Linked DNA regions of Bombyx mori. The protein of the gene in region 1 binds, or shares a complex with, the protein of each later gene. Links are inferred from orthologs where the notes say so. Each region holds a gene or a part of one and is shown on either strand. Other genes may lie near its edges.

Region 1 (5,507 bases):
TAAAAATCACTAACAATGAATACTTCTTCCTGGTCGACTGGTCGGCAACCTCGTCAACCAAAAAGCCAAATATAGATAACACAATTGAAATTTCTTCAGCCATTTATTAACATATTTTTAAAGCCTTGATAAACTGTTTACTGGTACTCTTATAAGGCAAGACAATAAGTAATATTCTGTGCCTGAACTAAAGATTCAACACAAGAGCCATGCCACATGCGGCACCTATAATACAGATTGCCGACCACTGTCCTAGTTAAATAAAACTAAAAAGGTAAAATTGATTTTTAAGTGTGGACAGTTTATTCTACAAAGCAAGTTATTAGGGTTATTATATATTTTAACCAATAATTTGGAAATTAAATGAAGTTCAAAACAATTAAGTTTGATTGTAGAAAATATAGTCCTTAATATGTTTACTGAATTTCAATATGTTCAATTTGTTATGAAAATTGAATATATTGATGTAAAATATATATAAAATGTTTTGAAATATTTTGGAATGGATTAAAATCATCATACACACAAAAAAATTATTAAAAGCTATTAAAAAAGCACACAAATCCTGTGCTAGGCTTTTTTACATTGGCTTTTAATCTGCCTCAAATTGCATTTTTATACTATCTACTAGCCATCAAACTAACAAGTTCTTTTGTTATATCCACTTATTGCCTTGATTTTTCTAGAAAGTGAAGAAAAGTATACCCGACTTTAAACACATACCTTCTCAGCCTGGGGTACAGTTCTAGGGAATCCATCAAGTAAGAAACCATTCTTGCACTCAGGTTGATCCAAGTTCTTGTCAATCATATCAACCACCATTTCATCGGAAACAAGTTTGCCCTCATCCATGACCTTCTTAAGGCGTCGTCCCAGGTCTGATCCCGATGAGACTTCAGCACGCAGCATGTCACCAGTGGATAGGTGACAAACACAATACTTTTCTTTCAGACGAGGAGCCTAATGATAATAAACAAGTTCTCATGTATTTCAAAAATTGAATAACTGGCTTCATTATTGAATTTCTAATTTATATTTCTAATTATTAAATACTAATCATTAATTAAGTATTTATAATTATTAGCCTCAATGATACTTAAGTAATAATCAAATATTCACTATTAGTTATAATATGAGATAAAGAAGGCCAAAGTTCAATTAAACCACATACCTGAGTCCCCTTACCGGATCCAGGAGGGCCAAGTAGCACGGCCCTTATTCCTAAAGGATCCTCATCAGGTTTTAGTTTCGTGGCTGCAGCGGCCGGTGCCATATCATCAAATTCTTAAGCCTTCAATTAATTAGAGCCCTGTACAGACAAATCTGTCAAAGTTAGAATTGCAGAGGTGTTGTAACTACGTTTAGATATGCGTAAATTAGCACGTGATATAGTAATCAAAAGTTCAATTGCAATTTACATGATATCTTAAAAAATTATCAAAACTTTTTAAATGAATTTAATTCCACTCACCGAAATAGCCGACAGGCAAAGGGAAACAAAGTCCATAACGAAAAAATTATAAGGTGAGAAAAGGTCAAAGCCATACATATTTAATTCAAAACAAGTGGATTAAATAAAAATAAAAACACTTAGAATGAGGTTAGAACTCATCTCGAATTTAAATAAAACTGTAATTAAAGCATTGGTGAATTTTGTGAGGAGGCTCCAAAGGACTTTTTGAAGTAGCGGAGAAGTTATTTTTTTTATGAATTTAGTTATTAAAATTTTAATCAATAATAAATTGTTTGTATTTTTTATTTTTATGTTAATCAAATTGATTTAATTCTTTGTTTAACAGACGAAGCTCAATTGTTTTAAAAATATGAATGACTTATGTACTCTTTGCCTCTGAAATCGATAAAAAATATATACTTTGACAACAATAGTTGCACTTGACATTAGCATCATAGCCTCGCATAACCTGAAAATGAAGAGGCGGTAAATATTTATACGAAACTGTTTTCTATAATTTCCACTTTTAAAATTTTATTCTGTACCTAATATATGTCAAACCGGCTGGTCGTACTAGTTCTGTACTGCAATCAAGTTAAGTATGACAACGAGTAGTGTAAAGTAAGTTTCGTTCGTTAATTTTAAGTATTTAGTTTAAGCATTTCTGTATTTAACTACAAATTTCAGTTATTGGAAGAGGCTATGGCGCTGGACAACTTCGGAGAGTCTGACTACAGAAGAATTGACCAAAATTTTTGATACAAAAGAAGTAAGAGATGGACTTAAAATTGGATTGGCTAGTTACAAACAAAACAAGCCTGAGGACTTTACCAAACTTCAGTCACAGTATCCGGATCAAACAAAGCTGCTCACTATAGTGCAGACACTTCAAAATTATATTGTGAGCTGATATTTCAAATATATTACGTTTAATAAAATATTTGGGAATTTTGTTGTGTGTAATTCCTGTAGTTTTCAGTTAATAATACTATGAATTTTCTTGCAGGATGTCGACTGTTTTCAATTATGGGAAATATTAAAAAACTATTTGTGTGATATATCGTATGGTACACCTGAGAGTGCATTAAAGAATGTTGCATTTGTTGACACCCGACCTACATATTTGTCTCCCAAAGTATGGAGCTTCTATTATTCTGAGCGACTCTTTCTACTCAAATTGCTTCAGTACATCATTCAGCTTAAAGATGATGCTCAATATAAATATCAAAAGGAATTCACCAAGATTATTGAAGATATTGGCATACAAAACATTAAAACCTCACTCATATCTCAATTTGAAAAGGTCTTAAGTGCTGCTCCACCATCTAGAAAAATATTGAGTGATTTTTCTAATGATTCTGTGCGACACACTTGGTTAGAGAGTAATTTGAGAGAACAATTAGCAATACTTCAAATACTCTTAATAATTGCGGAAAAGAACACATTTCAAGCTGAAGAATTCAAAAAATTGTTTAATTTGTTCATAAAACACAGTTTTGGGAAGAATTATGGGTTCAGTGAGTTCCTGGGAGAAAGACACAGAGAGCAATGCCTCTGTATTATGTACATGGAAGTTTGCCTGTTTATGATCATTATTGATCATTTGAAAATGTAAGAATTTGGTGTAAACATTGTAATTTATTTTTCATTGTTTTATTCAATTTATTTTTGGCACTATATATAACATATTGGTGTTGTAATTTACTTTGGCTTGGCTGTGACATTTCAGTGATAATTTATCAACATGGATAGAAAATACTAAAGAAGTTGTAGAAACTGAATTGACAAAAATTCAAATGTGTACAGAACACAGTGCCATGCTTTTGACGTGGATGCTGGTAACGTTGCAGGTAATTATCAGTTTTTTAATTAAGGTATTCATCATGCAAAGCTTACTTGAAGGTTTAGGTGCTTTTAGGCACTACAAGCACCGGTCATCGTCCTCGTCGAAACCGTCGCTTGCGACGAAGGGCTCGACGAGCGAATTAACCCACAGACACAGCCCACTGAGTTTCTCGCCGGATCTTCTCAGTGGGTTGCGTTTCCGATCCGGTGGTAGATTCTGCGAAGCACTGCTCTTGCTAGGGTCAGTGTTAGCAACCGGTTTGAGCCCCGTGAGCTCACCTACACACGCTAGGGTAAGCTGAAATAAACTCTCAAGGCTATCAGCATAGGTAGGAAAAAAAACCAGAAGGTTTATAATCAACGTTGCTTAAGAATAATATTGTTGAAAGAAAAACAACCAATATCTGATTTTTATGTAATAATATATATATATATTATTACATAAAAATATATATATATTTATAGGTAATAAACCCGAATGTGCTGTTTTGAGACACTGGGTTCATATACGTACCCATATACCAGGAGCCTCAAAGCAGCGCAGATTTGTGAATTAAATGTTTAAATGTTTTAATTGCTAATTTTAATTTTAATTTTAATTTTACTAACATAGTTCTAAGTATTATTCTACTTACAACATAATAATATGGACTTAAGAGGGTCTGAATTAAATGAATTTTATTTTTTTTATTTTTTATGTCACAGCTGGGCAGAACAAATGACAAATCTTTTTTAAAGGATTTATGTAGTGCAGAACTTTTACTATCTTGTAGAGTTCTCTTGACATTCGTTACATAATAATATGAAATACTTACTAAATATATAGCAAGTCAACGACATTGATTTGTAGAAAATAGCCCTGTAATCTATACCAAAAAGTATATTTACACTACTCAGTAAGGCTCATAAATTTTTTTGTTGAACATTGTGTTATTGTTACAGAGTGATCAACATGTAAAATTATTTGAAAGCCAATATCAACATTTTGGCAGTACTGCAATGAAGATGAAAGTGTTTGAGTTTCTTCAACAGATGCTGAACAGTCCTGTATTCTCAGTAAGTATTCATTCACACATTCATTACCGTAACCTTTAAAAATATTTTGTGTTATTTCATATCTATTCTGAATTTTCAATATAAATTATTATCTAACATAAGATTAAGATAAATGAAGGAACCTTTCAACGTTTTATTTGAACTGCTTACTCATTTTGGTTTGGTAAATGTTACCCTTAACAAACAAGACAAAATATAGGTATATAAAGGAAAGTCCTAAAATCCTGACTTGATTTATAACTGAAAATTTGTATTTTCATATACATCGTCTGTCTATCTATCTGCATGTCTGTCTATCTATCATGATCATTCATTTAGGACAGCCTTTCCCAAAGTAGGCGATAACGCTCCCTTATGGGCGCTGCAGGCCTAAAGGGTAAGAGACCCAAAAAAAAGGGGGGCGTTGTGTAGAGGTTTGAGGTAATTTCATCTAGGACGACTCTTAGACACCAACTGTGCTCTCGCTATGGTGGTTTTTAAGTAGGTGAAAAAATGGGGCCGCCAAAAAATAATTTATTCTCAAAACGGACAGTAGACATAATAAGTTTGGGAACTCCTGATTTAGGACCATAATTTATGAACATTACACTATAGCGAGAGATTACATACATTAAATGTAATCAACCTTGCAGGATCAATCAAAGTGCTCACAAATAGCTAAACAAAGAATGTTTAATATCCTCAACGAGCTTTGTGACAAGTTTGATGGAGACGGAAGCCTCAGCAATCAAACTGGCATTATACAGCTGTGTTCAGACCTGCTTCAGTCACCAGAAATAGCTTGTCAATTCTGGAAACTTCATCAGAGAGACAAAGACTTTGGTGTAGTGTCATTATGGAATACTGCACTAGAATATTTCCCTCATCATTTTAGTCCTCTCTCAAATTTAGCTGCTGGCTTAGTTCAAGCTGGTAAGAACAGCGTCAGAAATGTAAGTAATTTTAAGTAATATTTTTTGATTTAAATTGCTAATAGCATTCTTAACTAAAAAAAAAAAAAAAAAGTTGAATCAAGCGATCAAGACGAAATCCTCTTGCTCAGATATAAATGATACATAATGTATTATTGTAAAAGATTACCATTTTCGTGTGTAACTTATAACAGGCAATTATTTTGAACAAATATGCATTTTTTAAACTATAGTTATTCTGC
Region 2 (5,196 bases), on another chromosome or scaffold:
TTTAGATCTGCCAGTGCGCCTTGATCTGATCACTCTACAGTTAGAAACACCTCCAAACTGACTGAAGTATTGTGTCATTTGATGCTGAAAAAAACCCACAAAAGATATGAGTCTAAATAATTGCAAATAATTTGTAAAGTATAGCTTTTTGGGCAGAAATAGGCAGGGTGGTTGTTACCTAACCGCGCCCACTCACAAGACCTACCACCAGTAAAAAATTAATAAATGACCTTTTGTACGTTTTTTTTATTGGTATTTACAACAAATCAAATTATTCCAGGCGGTCTATTAACAACAGGGACTCTTCTTCGACGGTGGGACGGTAGTTTGCCAATTAAAGCAAAAAAAGAATTGTAACCAACCTCATAAAATCCATGTGGGATATGTCCCAAATAAACAAGCCCTCTTACACGTTTCTTTTTTTTTATTTTCTCTTCTTGTACTTTAGGGGTGACGGGGGTCTGATCCTTCGCTTGCGTTTTTTTCTTCTGTGATATAAATAAGAATAAGTACACTGGTTTTTTATAACCTAGTCTCAAATATATAATGTTATTAATACTACCTTTATAGTTTTTTGCAATCCTTTAATGGATTTGATAAACTTTTTTTGTTTGCTAGAATCCAACGCAACGTTTTCTTCCATTTTATTTCGTAATTTAAAATGTGATTTAAGCAAAAACTTAGAAGTGTAAATAAAGAACAACAAAGTCTTCTTTTTTAATTTTTAGGGATTTTATGACCTGGTAAGTAGGACCTTTAAGTCAAGTCTTATTTTTATTTTTATGAAAAGTGGTATGAAATGAAGGAAGCTGATTAATATAAAACAATGCACGAAATGTCATAAAATGAAAATGAAAATGAAAACGAAGTGAGACGAGACGAGACGAGATGAAACGGGACGAACGAGCACTTTCACAGATACTAAATAGTTAATAAACCACCGTTATTACACATTTAAACCTGAAGAAACACTTAATAGACAAAAATTTAATAAAACAAATCTCACAACTTCACTCTTCGCATTCCCGCCAAAAAGTCCCAAGCCTTCTCGTGTATTAAGTGCACAGATTGATGTTCGTTTTAATATGTATCGTTTGCGTCAGATAGGTGTAGGCATTACATATTATCTATTTTTTAGCTGCAAATACGGTACATCAATTTAATATAAAAATAGATTCCCTTTGGCTATCTGGTAGAAATAACAAACTCTCGTGTAACAGACACAAAAAGCTCAAGACCTTTAGGCGGGATCGTGAGAAAAGGATTAATGTGACTTGTTACATTTTGTTCATTTACTTTATGCTTAAACGTATAAAACAGTGGTTCACTAGCTTTTTCGCACCTGTGTTAATGCTTAAGGCTATGTTCCGATGTACACTGGGAGCACTGTAAAATATAATGTAAAATTAGTATACTGCGAAGCCATTCCTTTAATAGCTGCACTGGTTACTTTTTTAAATGGAACACAGTACAGTATAAGGGTGAGACCGATATATTAGTATTCATTAAGATATTCGTAATACAGCTTGGGAATTTTTAAATGCATTACTTTTTAATGTTTGAACCTTCATTTCTTGATTCCTTGAAGTCAAATTCCTAGATACAATATACTATTTATATTATTAATAACTAATGTGTATTATCTATGATTATTAACTTATTTCACGAATACCGTATTAGGTTTAACTCGTTTACCCGTTTTATCAAAGTATATTAAGATATCAGGATATTCACGTATTAGTTAAGGTATTATAATATTACATAACGAATATATTTGTATATTGACAAATATCAGTATTAACCCATCGTTAGTACAGTATGATGCCTGCAATTTGTGTCTCAAACAAAAAAAAATGTATGGTTGCCGCTGTTATAATTCACTTCATCTAAAAAAATAAATAAACATTTGATTTCACTTAATTACATTCCATTTCACATAATAAGTATAGTCTTGGCCTTCCAAATGCTTTAGCGGTATAGACTTCTTTCCGTGTGCCTATCCAAGGAATGAAAAACTTATCCTTTCTCCAGTTGAGCTGTGGAAAGTGGAAATGACATATAAAGAAAACAAAATTTCAATGTTTTCATGAGACCGATTTTGCGCTAATAAACTCTGATTCTTTGATAAATATCAATCATGAAATGTCGATTGACGAAATTATAGGAAAAACTACATTCTTGTAATTTTGTATATTAAAATTAGTCATTCAAAGTTAAAAATCCAGTAATACCTAACCACAATGTCGATGATAACTGGCACTCTTAATCAATACATACAATGTGTGGAACGTATGTACAGAACGGGACAAGGTAACATATTGTCTAGACTGTTGTCTCTAAGAGATGAACATGTCTACAATAGGAATCTATTATCTAGCGATATTGCAACCCTTGTCACAGGAAATTGTGTTGCTCCATTAGATGAACTTGTAATTGCACACTTATCATGTCTTAAGGTGAGATATATGAATTTAATTCTGGTTTTAAATTGATAAATATAGATTAAAAAATAGTAAATGTACCATTATTAATCTGGCCGTTACTACAGCGAACATTACCTGTTAAGTGTATTTTAAATATATCGTTTTATTAGCTTCTCGTCAAATACTTTTACTGGTGGCAAGACCTCTTGAGTCAGTAGTAGTCAGAAGCAGTAATGCATTTCGGTCAGAGACTGAGACCTTAGAACTTATATTTCAATATGGGTGGCGCATTTACGTTGTAGATATCTATGGGCTCCAGTAACCACTTAACACCAGGTGGGCTGTAAGCTCATCCACCGATCTAAGCAATAAAAAAAAATGCTTTGCATTCCAGGCATTATATGCAAGTGATTACATTGAGGCATACGATCATCAGAGTATATGTGTGGCCTCTGTCGTAAAGCTATTACAGGGACAGAAAGAAGAGAACTGGTGCCTTCCGGTTATGTATGCTGCATGTTTAGATCTTAGACTTGTTGCACAGAAAGCAGAGGCATCTAGCCGTAAGTATGAATTTGCATACATCATTCAAGAGCTAAGATAAGATGGTAATAGTATCAAGTGATTAGGGCATTAAGAATAAGATGCCTGGAGTACTCATATTGAAATCTTCAAATGCCAAGGAAAATAATGTGTCATAGAAATGAGATCTTATAGTATTTATGATGGTCGGTTGTGTTATAAGTTTGCACAACTAGGTATGTATTACCAAACTGCTTGTTTCTGTACTAAAGCAATCATGTATTCTAGCTTGAAGAATAGTGCAGCAATTACACTATACAATTCAGCCTTAAACTTCATCACTTAAGGCAGACTTCACAAAGTAACGTCTACAGACTCTAGTAACCACTCATCATCTGGTGGCTGTTTAAGTGCAGGTTCCCTTCTACTCAAGATTTGTCTCCTTAGTCTTGTTTGAAGAATGACTAACCCTAAGTGCTCAGTATATTCACAGGTGGTAGGATTCAACTCTGTTATGGTGGTACAATGTCGAAAAAACGAAATTATCTCAAATACTTGCATGAGTTGTTGTCTTAGTCAATATTGTGTTAAATAATCTGTATTCTGTACAATTAATTTCATTTGTCAATATTTCAGCTCAAAATGGCAGTAAAATTATGGAAAAAGCAGCAGAGAGCTTATTAGCTTGCTTCAGAGTCTGTGCTGCTGACAACAGAGCTTCAGATGTGGATACCAAAAAGATAGGCATGTTGTGTCTTGTAAACCAACTTCTTAAAGTATATTTCAGGATAAACAAGCTCCACCTTTGCAAACCATTGATTAGAGCCATTGATTCTTCACCATTCAAAGATCAATTCCCACTGGCCCAACAAATTACATACAGATATTTTGTGGGTCGTAAAGCCATGTTTGACTCAGACTATCGTCTAGCTGATGAATACTTATCGTTTGCTTTTGAAAATTGTCACAGAAGAAGCATACGAAATAAAAGGCTCATTCTAACTTATTTAGTTCCTGTGAAAATGCTGTTGGGTTTCATGCCCGCAAAATATTTACTAGAGAAATATGATTTGCTACAATTCTGGGATCTAATATCAGCTGTGAAAAATGGAGATTTGCGTGGTATCGATATGGTTATGGAGGAACATGAAAAGTTCTTCATAACGGCTGGTATTTATTTGATTGTAGAAAAATTAAAGATTACAGCATACAGAAATTTGTTTAGGAAAGTATATTTAGCGGAGAATTCACATCAGATAGACATAGCCAGCTTCGAGGCAGCATTACAAATCATGGGACAGGAAGATGTTGATTCAGATGAAACTCAATGTATTGTTGCAAATCTCATATATGATGGAAAAATCAAAGGATACATCTCATACCAACACAAGAAAGTGGTTGTCAGTAAACAAAATGCTTTTCCTCCATTATCTAGTCTGTATTAAATTTATACCATTTAAATAATACCTAGGGGAATACACACTTAATTTTTTGATTGTTTTAATAAAAATTAAGATTCCATTAGCATAAAGGCTGATTAAGTGAAATGTGATGATGAGCAATTGTATATCTGACGCAATTTCACTATTTAAATACTTTCTTTTTGATTACATATAATATCCATAAAAATACACAAAACAGTTCAGTAGTCCAGTTTTTTTATTTTAGTAGCACTAATGTGTTTAGGGTTGTCATTAAATAAAATAGAAACTCACAACGGTAGGGGTGTCTTTACACCAAAATATGTCATTAATAAAACAAAATATTATACATATAATACATAACATGAGTCCAAACCTTGTCAGTGAATATGGTTAAGCACTATAACAATAATATCTATTAATTGAGTGTAATTAATGTGGATTTTAATAAAAGATGATGATGATGAGAGATTAATGACATGATGTGTAATTGTTTTGAATCCTGCTTGATCTGTATTAAGTTTAAAATTTAAATAAACGTCTAGGGATTACAGATAAATAATAATTTTGAATTCGATATTTCGCGTCGTTCGGAATCTCTATTTATGAAAATACTATTTGTCCCTGTTTTGTATCGTATGTTGCAAATATATTCCATTACCAAAGTGAGCAATAGTTTCAATGTTCCCATCACTATTGTTTTTCAAATTTTTATTGAATTGGAACGTTTGCCTACGTTTGCCGCTAGGGGCGCTGTTCCAACTGCATACAAATTTAAGTTTACTTTTACGCTATCAAGAACGTTAAAAACTAACACTAAGCACACTGAG
Region 3 (5,171 bases), on another chromosome or scaffold:
TGAATGTGATAATGTATTAGATGATGACAAAAAGGATTTGTTGAATTCGTTGAATGTACAAACAACGAATGCCGGAGATTTTTACTATAGCATCGTGTTCTACAATAACACCTTTTACAGGAATAAGTGTATTGAGTATTTGTCAAAAATAGAGAAATTAATATAAAATGTATGTTCGTCTTTTGCATTTACTCTAATATTCTGAATTCAAGACTTGAAATTTAATGTATTTTTCTAGTGTACTTTACCTGTGTAATTGTTGTGTCTGTTTGAAATATGTTTAATAAAGTTATCTCAATGTGGTTCTATATATTTTTTATTACGATGATGAGCTCTACGTAAATAAATATATTAAAACTTTCATGTAACATACAATAAAAGTTCCTTGTTCGCGCTTCATTTGCGTTTTCACTATTAGGGGATTTAAAAAAAATGCTAAAAATTTCTTTATTCGCGGACGCAAGGGCGGATCCAGGTTTGGCGCCGGGAGGGGGTCACATAGTCGTGGGCAAGTTAAGATAATAAATAAATCATGATGTTCTTCAATTAGTCCAAGTTAGTTCAAGTCCTGGAACTAGCTCAGGGGGGGGTCATGACCCCCCTCCTGGATACGCCGTTGCGCGGACGTAATCGATACATTGTTAAAAAGGAATTCCGATAAGTAGGTATCCAATCGAATATCATTTGTAAACGCGTCGTCAAATAGACTAATAAAAAGTTAAATAGATCTTATTACCACCAGGCCTAAAACAAAACGCTAAATTGATATGACATCGCCGCTGTATTGGTTCTGTCTTTGACAGGAGCCGTCTTCGCTGCCTGATAAATGAAATTTCACGATTTCTATGTTCGCGGCATATTTACGGAACATATACTCCGCGAATAAAGAGCTTTTACTGTACTCTGAGGTCGTCGTGGCCTAAAGGATAAGATTTCTGGTGTATTCGTATCTAGCGGTGCACTGGTGTTCGAATCCCGCAGACGGGTACCAATTTTTCTAATACAAATGTTCACGAATGACTTCCACAGTGAAGGAATAACATCGTGTAATAAAAATAAAACCCGCAAATTATTATAAAATTAGGACCTCTTGTGAGTCCGCACGGGTAGGTACCGCCACCCGCCACCCCGCCTATTTCTGCCATGAAGTTGTAATGCGTTTCGGTTTGAAGGGTGGGGCAGCCGTTGTAACTATACTTATACCTACTTGAGACCTTAGAAGTTAGAACTTATATCTCAAGGTGGGTGGCACATTTACGTTGCAAATGTCTATGGGCTCCAGTAACCACTTAACACCAGGGGTAGGTTTTTTTATTCCTACCTAAGCTGATAGCCTTGAGAGGCTATTTCAGCGGAACCTTAACTGGTAGGTGAGCTCACGGGGCTCAAACCTGACGACGTTGCTAACACGAACCCTAGCAAGAGCCGTGCTTCGCAGAATGTATTATCGGATCGGAAACGCGACTCACTGAGAAGATCCGGCGAGAAACTCAGTGGGCTGTGTCTGACGGTTAATTTACGTTTCGACGGGAACGGTGACGGGGGGGGGGGGGCGTGAGCTCGTCCACCCATTTAAGCAACATAAACATAACTGAGAAATAACCAACATTTTACTGAGTTTATTCCATATCTCTAATTCCATGGTCAGTCGGTTGGTGCCTGGTATGGGATGTTACTTGTGTGGATTTATGTTAAATTATTTTGATTTGTTATTTATTAATAAGGGATTCATAAATCGTAAAAAATAATATGTAAAAAAGATTAGGATATATGGTTTGATATCTTTACTTTTCTAGTTGGAAAAATAGAACTGCTACCACTACTCAACTTGACTTTGACAACAACTGTCAAAAAAAAAAGCAACCGCGCGCGTTTGTTTGTCGCTTCATTTATAGACATTCAAAAAATTTCAAGTTTCAAACGCCAAACTAATAGTATTTTAATAATAAATATAATTAATAAGATAGTCATATACCTTAAGTTTGCGTGAAATACTAATATTTATGTTTCAAGTCTGATGCCAACAGCTAAGTAATCATGGAAATCAACGAAGGTAAACAAAACTGATACCGACATATAACCTAAATTTGTTTTATTCTCTTTACTAAAAGTATAAATGTACAAATCTCCCTTTTTTCTTTCAAATGATCTTCTTAAACAATACTGCAGTCGTCGTTCTCTGCAGTAGAATTCCTATTTATATAGCGGAATTAAACAAAGTATGTTTAAAAAAATTCTCTATTTAAATCTATTAAAAAATTGTAAAAAACAATTAAAATGAATTTCATTGATTATCTTCAAACATATATCGGTTCACCGAGAAATAAGACCAGACAATTATTATTTCCTAACTGCGTTCATACGTTTAATTGAATTGTCTAAATGAACTACCACTTTTCAGGCAATACCACAGACGATCTGTGGACGCCCTACAAAGAGTTGGTGTCTGTAGTGGAGAGTTATCTTACACATGAGAGTGGTGGGGCCCTTTATGCTGTACACACCTTTGAGTCAGTTCTTAGAAGACACAAGCAAACATTTCTAGCTTTATTTAAGAATCCAGTGAGTGACATATTTTTTACTAATTTCTTTCATGATACTTCTGTTTCATTAAACCTAACAAAACTCGAGATGATCTTGAAGTGTATGTAGTATCAAGAAAAGCAATTAATTTGATTGTAAGAAGTCAAGTGTGCTTTTTATTATATTTTTATAATAATCTTACTTTTGTAAATATTCATAATAGGTTACATTGTTTATAAATTATTTTATGTCTATTGCAAATACAGTGGAGGCATTAATGTTATGATGTGAAGGGGTTCTGGTAACTACTTTACATTGGGTGGTCTGAGAACTCATTTGCCCTTATAAGTAATAAAATAAAGGTTCCCAATTGACCATTTGTAAAATTAAATGTGCAGTACCACTCTTTCATGCAATTGATTTAATTCCTTATCACCTTGATTTCACTATTCATTAAGTCATCATTAATCCACTCAAATGCTAAATGCCACAATGTAAACCGATAGGTATAAAATGATTATAAAATTTAGTTAATTAAACTAAATTAAATTTGTGTTTTCATCTCTGGTGGTTTCTTTTTGAAACCTTGAACTTGAAAATCAAAACCTAATGTTGTGTTATACTTTACTGTAAATTTGTATTTTTTTTATGTTGTTTAGCCAAAAAACCTGGCAAGCAGGGAGGAACTAAAGAGGGGTATGACTGAAGGTATCACACTGCCTAGCATAGGGAGGACCATCATATCTAAAGAACTTGTGGATGAAGCTATCATTATATCAGGTAATATTATGAATTTGAATTCATTAAAAGTTTAAGAAATACGAAGGAATCCTATATCTTTTGTGACTTCAAGACTCCAGCTTAAAAATTTTCACTCCAATATTTTGTTTGGTTTCTTATAGTAAAATTTGTGTATTTGAAGTTTTTTTGCTCAACTTTTTGATACATCGGTAATCTTGAATTGATCCAGAAAAACCTGAAGTCAGTTTCAGAAGAGTACTTCGCAAGGCTATTTGTCAAGATAATCGCGTTATCAATACTGCCGCTGACTACTCCCCAACTCCTGCTCACCAGGAGCCAGTCACTGTAGACGCCCTAGACACGTCCATACACATTAGATCCAATAACTCTTGCATTAGATGCCTTAGCTTGCTAGGAGCATTCTTAGAGACACTGGTGACCATACTCACACGGGCACCTAACCCATACGTCAGCTTAGTGAGTTTCTTGCCGGATCTTGTTAGCGATTCCAATCTGGTAGTAGATTCATTTGCAAAGCAGCTGCCTTTGAGTTGTTAGGTCTCCGCCAGAGGCGCTCAGGCAGCTGTTAGCAAATAAATCCCTTCCTTCCTGGCTGAGCCTTTGCTCGCGCACCTGTCTTGGTGAAACAGGAAAAGCCTACAGGCCAGTTCATTCATAAAAACAACATTGTAAGTATGTGTAAATCCTGCATGGTTCACATCTCTGTAACTTAAATCTTTTCATTGTATTTTAATGTTTCACTTAATGTTTTAAAGAACCAAAATTAGTTCTGTGAATTCATTATAATATAGTCCATAAAATATATTTTTGTCTACAGATATGTTCAATGTGAATGAATACCTTGCATTAGAGCTGCTTCATACAGCACAGCGACAGTTACCACGTCACCCTGGTCTGCCACGAGGCCTTGTGGCCGTTTTGCTGTACTATGATGGACGTAGAGCACTTGTGCAGGCATTAAAAGAACTATGCATGGCCAGAGAAGGTGTTTGTTGGTGAGTGCAAATTTTTGTTTTAAATTAGTTCATTTTACAAATACATTATGTGCAGAAAAAGGTTGTAAATTGAAAAATAAGAATGATTGTGTGATGTTAACATTGTCTAGTGAGGGTTTACTAACAGCAGTACTAGTCAGCATTTACATCTCTCAGTCTCATTGGTGGTATGGTGTTTTTTTTTATTGCTTAGATGGGTGGATGAGCTCACAGCCCACCTGGTGTTAAAGGTCTCAAGTATAGTTACGACGGCTGCCCCACCCTTCAAACCGAAACGCATTACTGCTCTACGGCAGAAATAGGCAGAGTGCTGGTATTTGCCCACGCAGACTCGCAAGAGGTGCTACCACCAGTAATTACGCAAATTATAATTTTGCGGGTTTGATTTTTATTACACAATGTTATTCCTTCACTGTGGAAGTCAATTGTGAACATTTTTTGAGTGCGTATTTCATTATAAAAATTGGTACCCGCCTGTGGGATTCGAACACCAGTGCATCGCTTAATATGAATGCACCGGACGTCTTATCCTTTAGGCCACGACGACTTTTATCGGTAAGTCTCATGAACTTGTATGGATAAGTATGGCTGACCTGCCATGCAGAAGTAATACTTTTTAGTTTCAAGGGTGAGGCAGCTATTGTACTATAAAACAGACTTTTGTGTCTTAAAGTTCAAAGTTGCAATACACTTGAAACTTCGACTTCATGTCTCTGGAGGTGGGTGGGGGCATTTACGTTGTTGATGTCTATGGGTTCCGGTAATCACTTAACACCAGGTGGGCCGACAGTTCGTCCACTTATCTGAGCAATAAAAATAAAAAATACATTGCATTATGTCAGGTCAATATCGGCACGTGCGGAGGTAGTGTGGTACGTGAGCCGCTACGTG
Region 4 (5,313 bases), on another chromosome or scaffold:
ATTTATAGTATTATTAATAAACAATTATATTTTTTTTTTTTTTTTTTAATCACCCCCTTAATTGTTTATGTCGGTGGAAAGAGAGCACCCCCTTAATTTTTGAATTATCCTTGTCTCTTTTTAGTTATATAAACTGTTGTATATAGCATTTAAATTTCCCTATCAATCTTATAAACTAACCCATTTCTCCCAAAACACAAGTTCACTTTTTTTTTAAAAATGTCTCAAAGTCACTTAAAGTCTCAAAGTTTTCCATGACCAGATTTTCATTTGTTAATCTGCCATCATTTGTTCCATTTTCATTTCATTCTCTATTATTTCGCCTTTCAACAACATCTTCTCGAACTATACGCCATTTCTACTTTATTACACTCCATTAGTATTATTTCCTCTAATATCACCTTCTCGAACTCCACTAACTCTCCATTTCTTCCTATTTCACCTTCTCGAACTTCATTACCTCCATTACTACTATTTCCTCTAAAATCACCTTCTCGAACTCCATTAACTCCATTTCTTCCTCTATCACCTTCTCGAACTTCATTAACTCCATATCTTCCTCTAGCACCTTCTCGAACTTTGTCGACTTCGTCTTCACGATTATTTTTTATTTGTTGTTCTCCCTTCTATTACCTTATCTCATACTCTTATAATTCTGTTTGGTATTTCAGCCAAATATTATAACATTTTCTGTTTTTTTTAATGGTTTTATTTTCATTAAATTCATTTCATATTGGTTGCTAAGAAAAATTTTTACAAACAGTTTCGTTTCCATGGTGAAGTTGTAGGCGTAGGTGATGTTTTAATCAGCAAACTATAATAAATATTACCTTATAAATTCTGGTCTGGGCCCATAACCTGTTGGATGGTTACATTTGAGGGGATTGGGTCTTTAGGTGATGAGGGGCTATTTAAAAACACAACTGCTTCATTATAATTATATTGCAGATTGCTTGAACACTTTTACACCATTATACAATTATTATCTTTATATTTTTTATATAACTATTACATGTTTGTCTTGCCGTGTCTAGATGAGAAGTCACTGACATTTTCTTACGAGAATACAATGATCTGTTTTTTAAAACATTTAAAATAATTCCAATATTCGAAATCTAATCAAGTGTCAAGTGTTGCCTGCCATTACATTTAATATACAAACTCCAACATGGACAATCCGCAAACTTTGAGAGGAGACCGCGAGCCAAAGGATGGCATTTAGATCCTACCCACTAAATTATATTGTATACATACTGAGTGCATTTTTTCCCTACCTAATTGTTGGGAGTCTAAGGGGCTATTCCAACTACGAGCGGACCGGTAGGTGGACTCACGGGTTCAACCTGAGAGAATTCCTAATACTAGCCCTAGCATGAGCAGTCCTTCGCTGAATCTACCACCGGATCGAAGCCGCGATTCATTGAGAAAATTCGGCGAGAAACTTAGTGGGTTGTGTCTATTGGCTAGTTCACACGTGGAATGTAATGTTTGGACTATATTTTTGTAGGTGTGTATGTTAAGTGACGCCCCTAGCAAACTTGAGTGCCGTGCCTGGTATTTTTAGTTTGTTTGCGGTTGTTGGAAGTTCGTGATGCTGTCCACATGTACTTGTCAATGATGCACTGCATTTGAATTTATATTGTGTTCTTTTACTTTTGATGTGCGCTGTCATTATGAAAATTATTTTTCTAATATACAAGTGAACACAATGTTTTCAAGTATTATTTAAATTTTAATTAATTGTTATAGCCACGGAGCTAGTCCACTTTATCAGCAGTAACAAGTCACACTTAACACGATGAAAAAAGACAATGTTTGTTCTCTCTGCGTTCCTGAAGCATTCATGCAATTATATATAAACAAACTATGTATTTCACTTTTCCTCCACATCACTTTTCATCCAACAGACATGAATTGGCGACAAAATAATTAGGTGTATAGACTATATTTCCTTTGCCTATCCAAAGGACTACACTAAAAAAGTCTGATAATTTTGTTATGTTTTGATGGTTTTGGTACATTTCATGAAATGGACAACCTAGAATAAATACTTACCGTTCATATTTTTAAATTAAATTTTACAAGAATCTATAGTTGTATGTTCATGGTTTATAGTTTAATTTAGTTATAGTTTCAATGGCTTTTTCATTTGGTAATACCACTACTACACAAGGTTCGGTTTTTGGTGCTGCCGCCAAACGTGAGTATAATTTAGAATGTAAATGTAACACAAGAACATTTAAATATGTTCTGAAAGTTCTATAACACATATAAGGCCAGAGAATTTTACATGAAATCATCAATGATCAAATTAATGAGCCATTAAATGAAAGATAAGGAACGCGAACTTTTTGAGTTACTGTTATTACTTCATTGTCCGCAGTAATACCTATTCTCACTTACTAGGTTTCAAATTTCCCTTAATTCTAATTTTGACCATTGGTAAGTTGTGTCACATAGTTTACGCAGGCAAGTGGATATCTTAACTGTGATTCTGATACATAATATACTTAATGTAGTGGAGCTACATAATGAAGATTATTTCATCTCCTGGTCACAAAAATGATTAAATTGATTTCTGTTTCATTGTTCACATTTTGCAAATTGCAGGTATTCATGGCAGTCATTCCAATTTTTTAGTTTAAATTGTTTAATAACACTTTCGTACTTTAATTCCAGCGACATTTTCATTTGGTGGAACAAGTACTGCTACAACCACCAGTACTGGGTTTAATTTTGGTACTACGACAACCTCATCGGGCTTTGGCTCCTTTGGGACCAGTAGTGGTAATACTTGGCTTGACTAAGAATATAATTAATTTAAAAAAATATATTTCTGCACTATTATTACAACTACCATTACACATTTCAATTACCAAAAACTATAAAAGAAAATCAGACAAGAGCTATTTTTATATTGACACATTCAATTTTGGTGATTTAATAATGGTGGTGTGAATAGAAAGTTTACCATTTTAAGACTTTACTATTTTTAAAATGAGTTCCGGTTACTACTTTTATTGGCTCCGGTTATCACTTAACACCAGGTGAGCCGTGAGCTTGTCCACCCATATAACCTATATAAAAATGTAGATTCTTTCAAACTATTCTTAGTTAAAAAAGTTTCTTAGACCTAATGATTGAAAACTGTATAAATACACAGTTGTTTATAGTTCAATTAAAGTATACAACTAGTGACCCGCCCTCGCTTCGCTTCGGAAACATTAAAACACACATGAAACAAAAAAAAAAAAAAAAAATTTAAAAAAAAGTAGCCTATGTTCATCAGGGACAATGTCGGCTTCTAATGGAAAAAGAATTTTTCAAATCGGTCCAGTAGTTTCGGAGCCTATTCGAAACAAACAAACAAACAAATCTTTCCTCTTTATAATATTAGTATAGATATATCAATTTACTAGGAAAAAATACGAGTCATTTCCAATTTGTACGAAAAATGTTTAATGTAACATACTCCAAAACAATCATAATTAAATATGACAATTACTAAACATCCGATCAAAGTAGAATGTGGTTTTTGCTCTCGAACTTTACATGCACATGTGGTATGGATATCTTAATTTTATCGCACTTTTAATGTATATTTTATTTCAGCGTATAAATTGTGAATAATAATTTTTTCAGTCTAATTTTATGGAGTTTCTATAGCTCAAATAACACATGAATGATATAGAAGACACATAATTTAAAAACAATATGCGCAGATAGTCAAGGCTACAAAAGCTAACTGTTTAGCATTAAGCTAAATCGATTTGCTCGAGAACAATATGCCACTGCATAATATTCACTGATATCAATTAGTGTAGTAATAATGTAATATCTAATGTTTCAGCAACACCTTTTGGTGGTTTGGGTAACACTGCTACTACAACAACTACTAATTCATTGTTCGGAGGGACTGGATTTGGAGCTGCCAAACCTGCCACTGGTAATATTGATTAAATTTTACTTACATTTTTACTTTACGTTTTCAAATTTCCAATTTACCTTTGATTGATCAGATGTATTATGCGAGTAGTGTTTTTGATGCATACATTCATGTATTACAAAGTAATCACTGATACCTAAAGATTTCATTTTAATTATTAAATTTTCTCTTTAGTTTTGTATTTTGATATTTGAAATATTGAAAAAGATATAATTCCAAATTAATTACTATTAATAATTGACAAAATTATTTACACAATTGTTAAAGGTTTTGGAACAACTGGCTTTGGGACGAACACATTTGGGACTGGTTTATTTGGAACTGGATCCAATACATTTGCGAGTGCAGCACCAACATTTGGTACAAACACTCTAGGTTCCAGCAATCTGAATACAGGAGCTTTCGGTACCGGAACTTTTGGCAGTGGATTTGGTACAAAACCGTCAACTGGTTTCGGTGGATTTGGTCTTGGCACTAATCAATTTGGACAACAACAGGTGTGTTTGATTCAATTACCATACAAGAAGTGAACTAGAAAAACATATATTTTTATGAAATACGTATTAATATTCAGTAGGGCTTGTATATCAGTGAAACTTTTTTTAAATAGATTTTAGTTTTCGACAGTCACACGGCAAACGATGAAACCTCGTAATTTCGCTCTGTAACTCAGACCTTTTTTACTCTGAAGTCATTCTGCAGTAACAAATGGGCGACCGAAATTGCAATAGTCAATATATTAGGGGTAACGCATATAACAGAGCTATGAAAAATAATTGAATGTATCAGCACATGTTTGTACCATGTAGAAGCGTTTTTATTACAAAACGTTAACCTTTGTTGATACAAGCCCAAAACACGTCATTACGGATCCTCCCGATCTATTAACGGTGCTTTCAGTATCAAGCACCGGTCACCGTCCTCGTCGAAACCGTCGCTTGCGACGAAGGGCTCGACGAGCGAATTGACCCAGCCCACTGAGTTTCTCGCCGGATCTTCTCAGTGGGTTGCGTTTCCGATCCGGTGGTAGATTCTGCGAAGCACTGCTCTTGCTAGAGCCAGTGTTAGCAACACTCCGGTTTGAACCCCGTGAGCTCACCTACACATTAGAGTGAAGCTGAAATAGCCTCTCAAGGTTCAGCATAGGTAGGAAAAAAAAGTTTTTTTTTTATTGCTTAGATGGATGGACGATCTCACAGCCCACCTGGTGTTAAGTGGTTACTGGAGCCCATAGACATCTACAACGTAAATGCGCCACCCACCTCGAGATATAAGTTCTAAGATCTCAGTATATGTAGTTACAACAGCTACCCCACCCTTCGAACCGAAACGCATTACTGCTTCACGACGGAAATAGGCGGGGTGGA

The links.
Region 2: nucleoporin Nup188 (region 1) and PCI domain-containing protein 2 homolog share a complex: the UniProt entries of both Drosophila melanogaster proteins name them as parts of the nuclear pore complex. The link is inferred for Bombyx mori from reciprocal best matches to the Drosophila melanogaster genes Nup188 and PCID2.
Region 3: nucleoporin Nup188 (region 1) and nuclear pore complex protein Nup205 share a complex: the UniProt entries of both Drosophila melanogaster proteins name them as parts of the nuclear pore complex. The link is inferred for Bombyx mori from reciprocal best matches to the Drosophila melanogaster genes Nup188 and Nup205.
Region 4: nucleoporin Nup188 (region 1) and probable nucleoporin Nup54 share a complex: the UniProt entries of both Drosophila melanogaster proteins name them as parts of the nuclear pore complex. The link is inferred for Bombyx mori from reciprocal best matches to the Drosophila melanogaster genes Nup188 and Nup54.

Annotation. Positions count from the first base shown.
Region 1 is NC_085111.1:4,871,572-4,877,078, reverse strand, and holds the start of nucleoporin Nup188, read left to right. Parts: upstream 1-1,894; 5' UTR 1,895-2,054; coding exon 2,055-2,074; intron 2,075-2,140; coding exon 2,141-2,354; intron 2,355-2,459; coding exon 2,460-3,064; intron 3,065-3,182; coding exon 3,183-3,303; intron 3,304-4,240; coding exon 4,241-4,354; intron 4,355-4,986; coding exon 4,987-5,286; intron 5,287-5,507. Other genes in the region: adk2 (adenylate kinase 2), read right to left, coding at 724-960, 1,172-1,273. UniProt on the Drosophila melanogaster protein: Component of the nuclear pore complex (NPC), a complex required for the trafficking across the nuclear envelope. Required for proper protein transport into the nucleus.
Region 2 is NC_085115.1:3,909,542-3,914,737, reverse strand, and holds PCI domain-containing protein 2 homolog, read left to right. Parts: upstream 1-1,854; 5' UTR 1,855-2,240; coding exon 2,241-2,456; intron 2,457-2,817; coding exon 2,818-2,986; intron 2,987-3,581; coding exon 3,582-4,390; 3' UTR 4,391-5,035; downstream 5,036-5,196. Other genes in the region: Nopp34 (nucleolar phosphoprotein), read right to left, coding at 1-84, 363-488, 563-643. UniProt on the Drosophila melanogaster protein: Required for the export of nuclear mRNAs and involved in mRNA trafficking in the cytoplasm.
Region 3 is NC_085121.1:1,006,044-1,011,214, forward strand, and holds the start of nuclear pore complex protein Nup205, read left to right. Parts: upstream 1-1,829; 5' UTR 1,830-2,037; coding exon 2,038-2,053; intron 2,054-2,401; coding exon 2,402-2,562; intron 2,563-3,182; coding exon 3,183-3,303; intron 3,304-4,102; coding exon 4,103-4,280; intron 4,281-5,122; coding exon 5,123-5,171. Other genes in the region: cap-specific mRNA (nucleoside-2'-O-)-methyltransferase 2, read left to right, coding at 1-166. UniProt on the Drosophila melanogaster protein: Plays a role in the nuclear pore complex (NPC) assembly and maintenance, but with limited role in NPC permeability. Required for specific nuclear import pathways such as Mad import.
Region 4 is NC_085121.1:5,992,406-5,997,718, forward strand, and holds the start of probable nucleoporin Nup54, read left to right. Parts: upstream 1-1,971; 5' UTR 1,972-2,136; coding exon 2,137-2,200; intron 2,201-2,679; coding exon 2,680-2,787; intron 2,788-3,850; coding exon 3,851-3,946; intron 3,947-4,213; coding exon 4,214-4,443; intron 4,444-5,313. UniProt on the Drosophila melanogaster protein: Component of the nuclear pore complex (NPC), a complex required for the trafficking across the nuclear envelope. Essential for the nuclear import of nuclear localization signal (NLS)-containing proteins in an importin alpha/importin beta-dependent manner.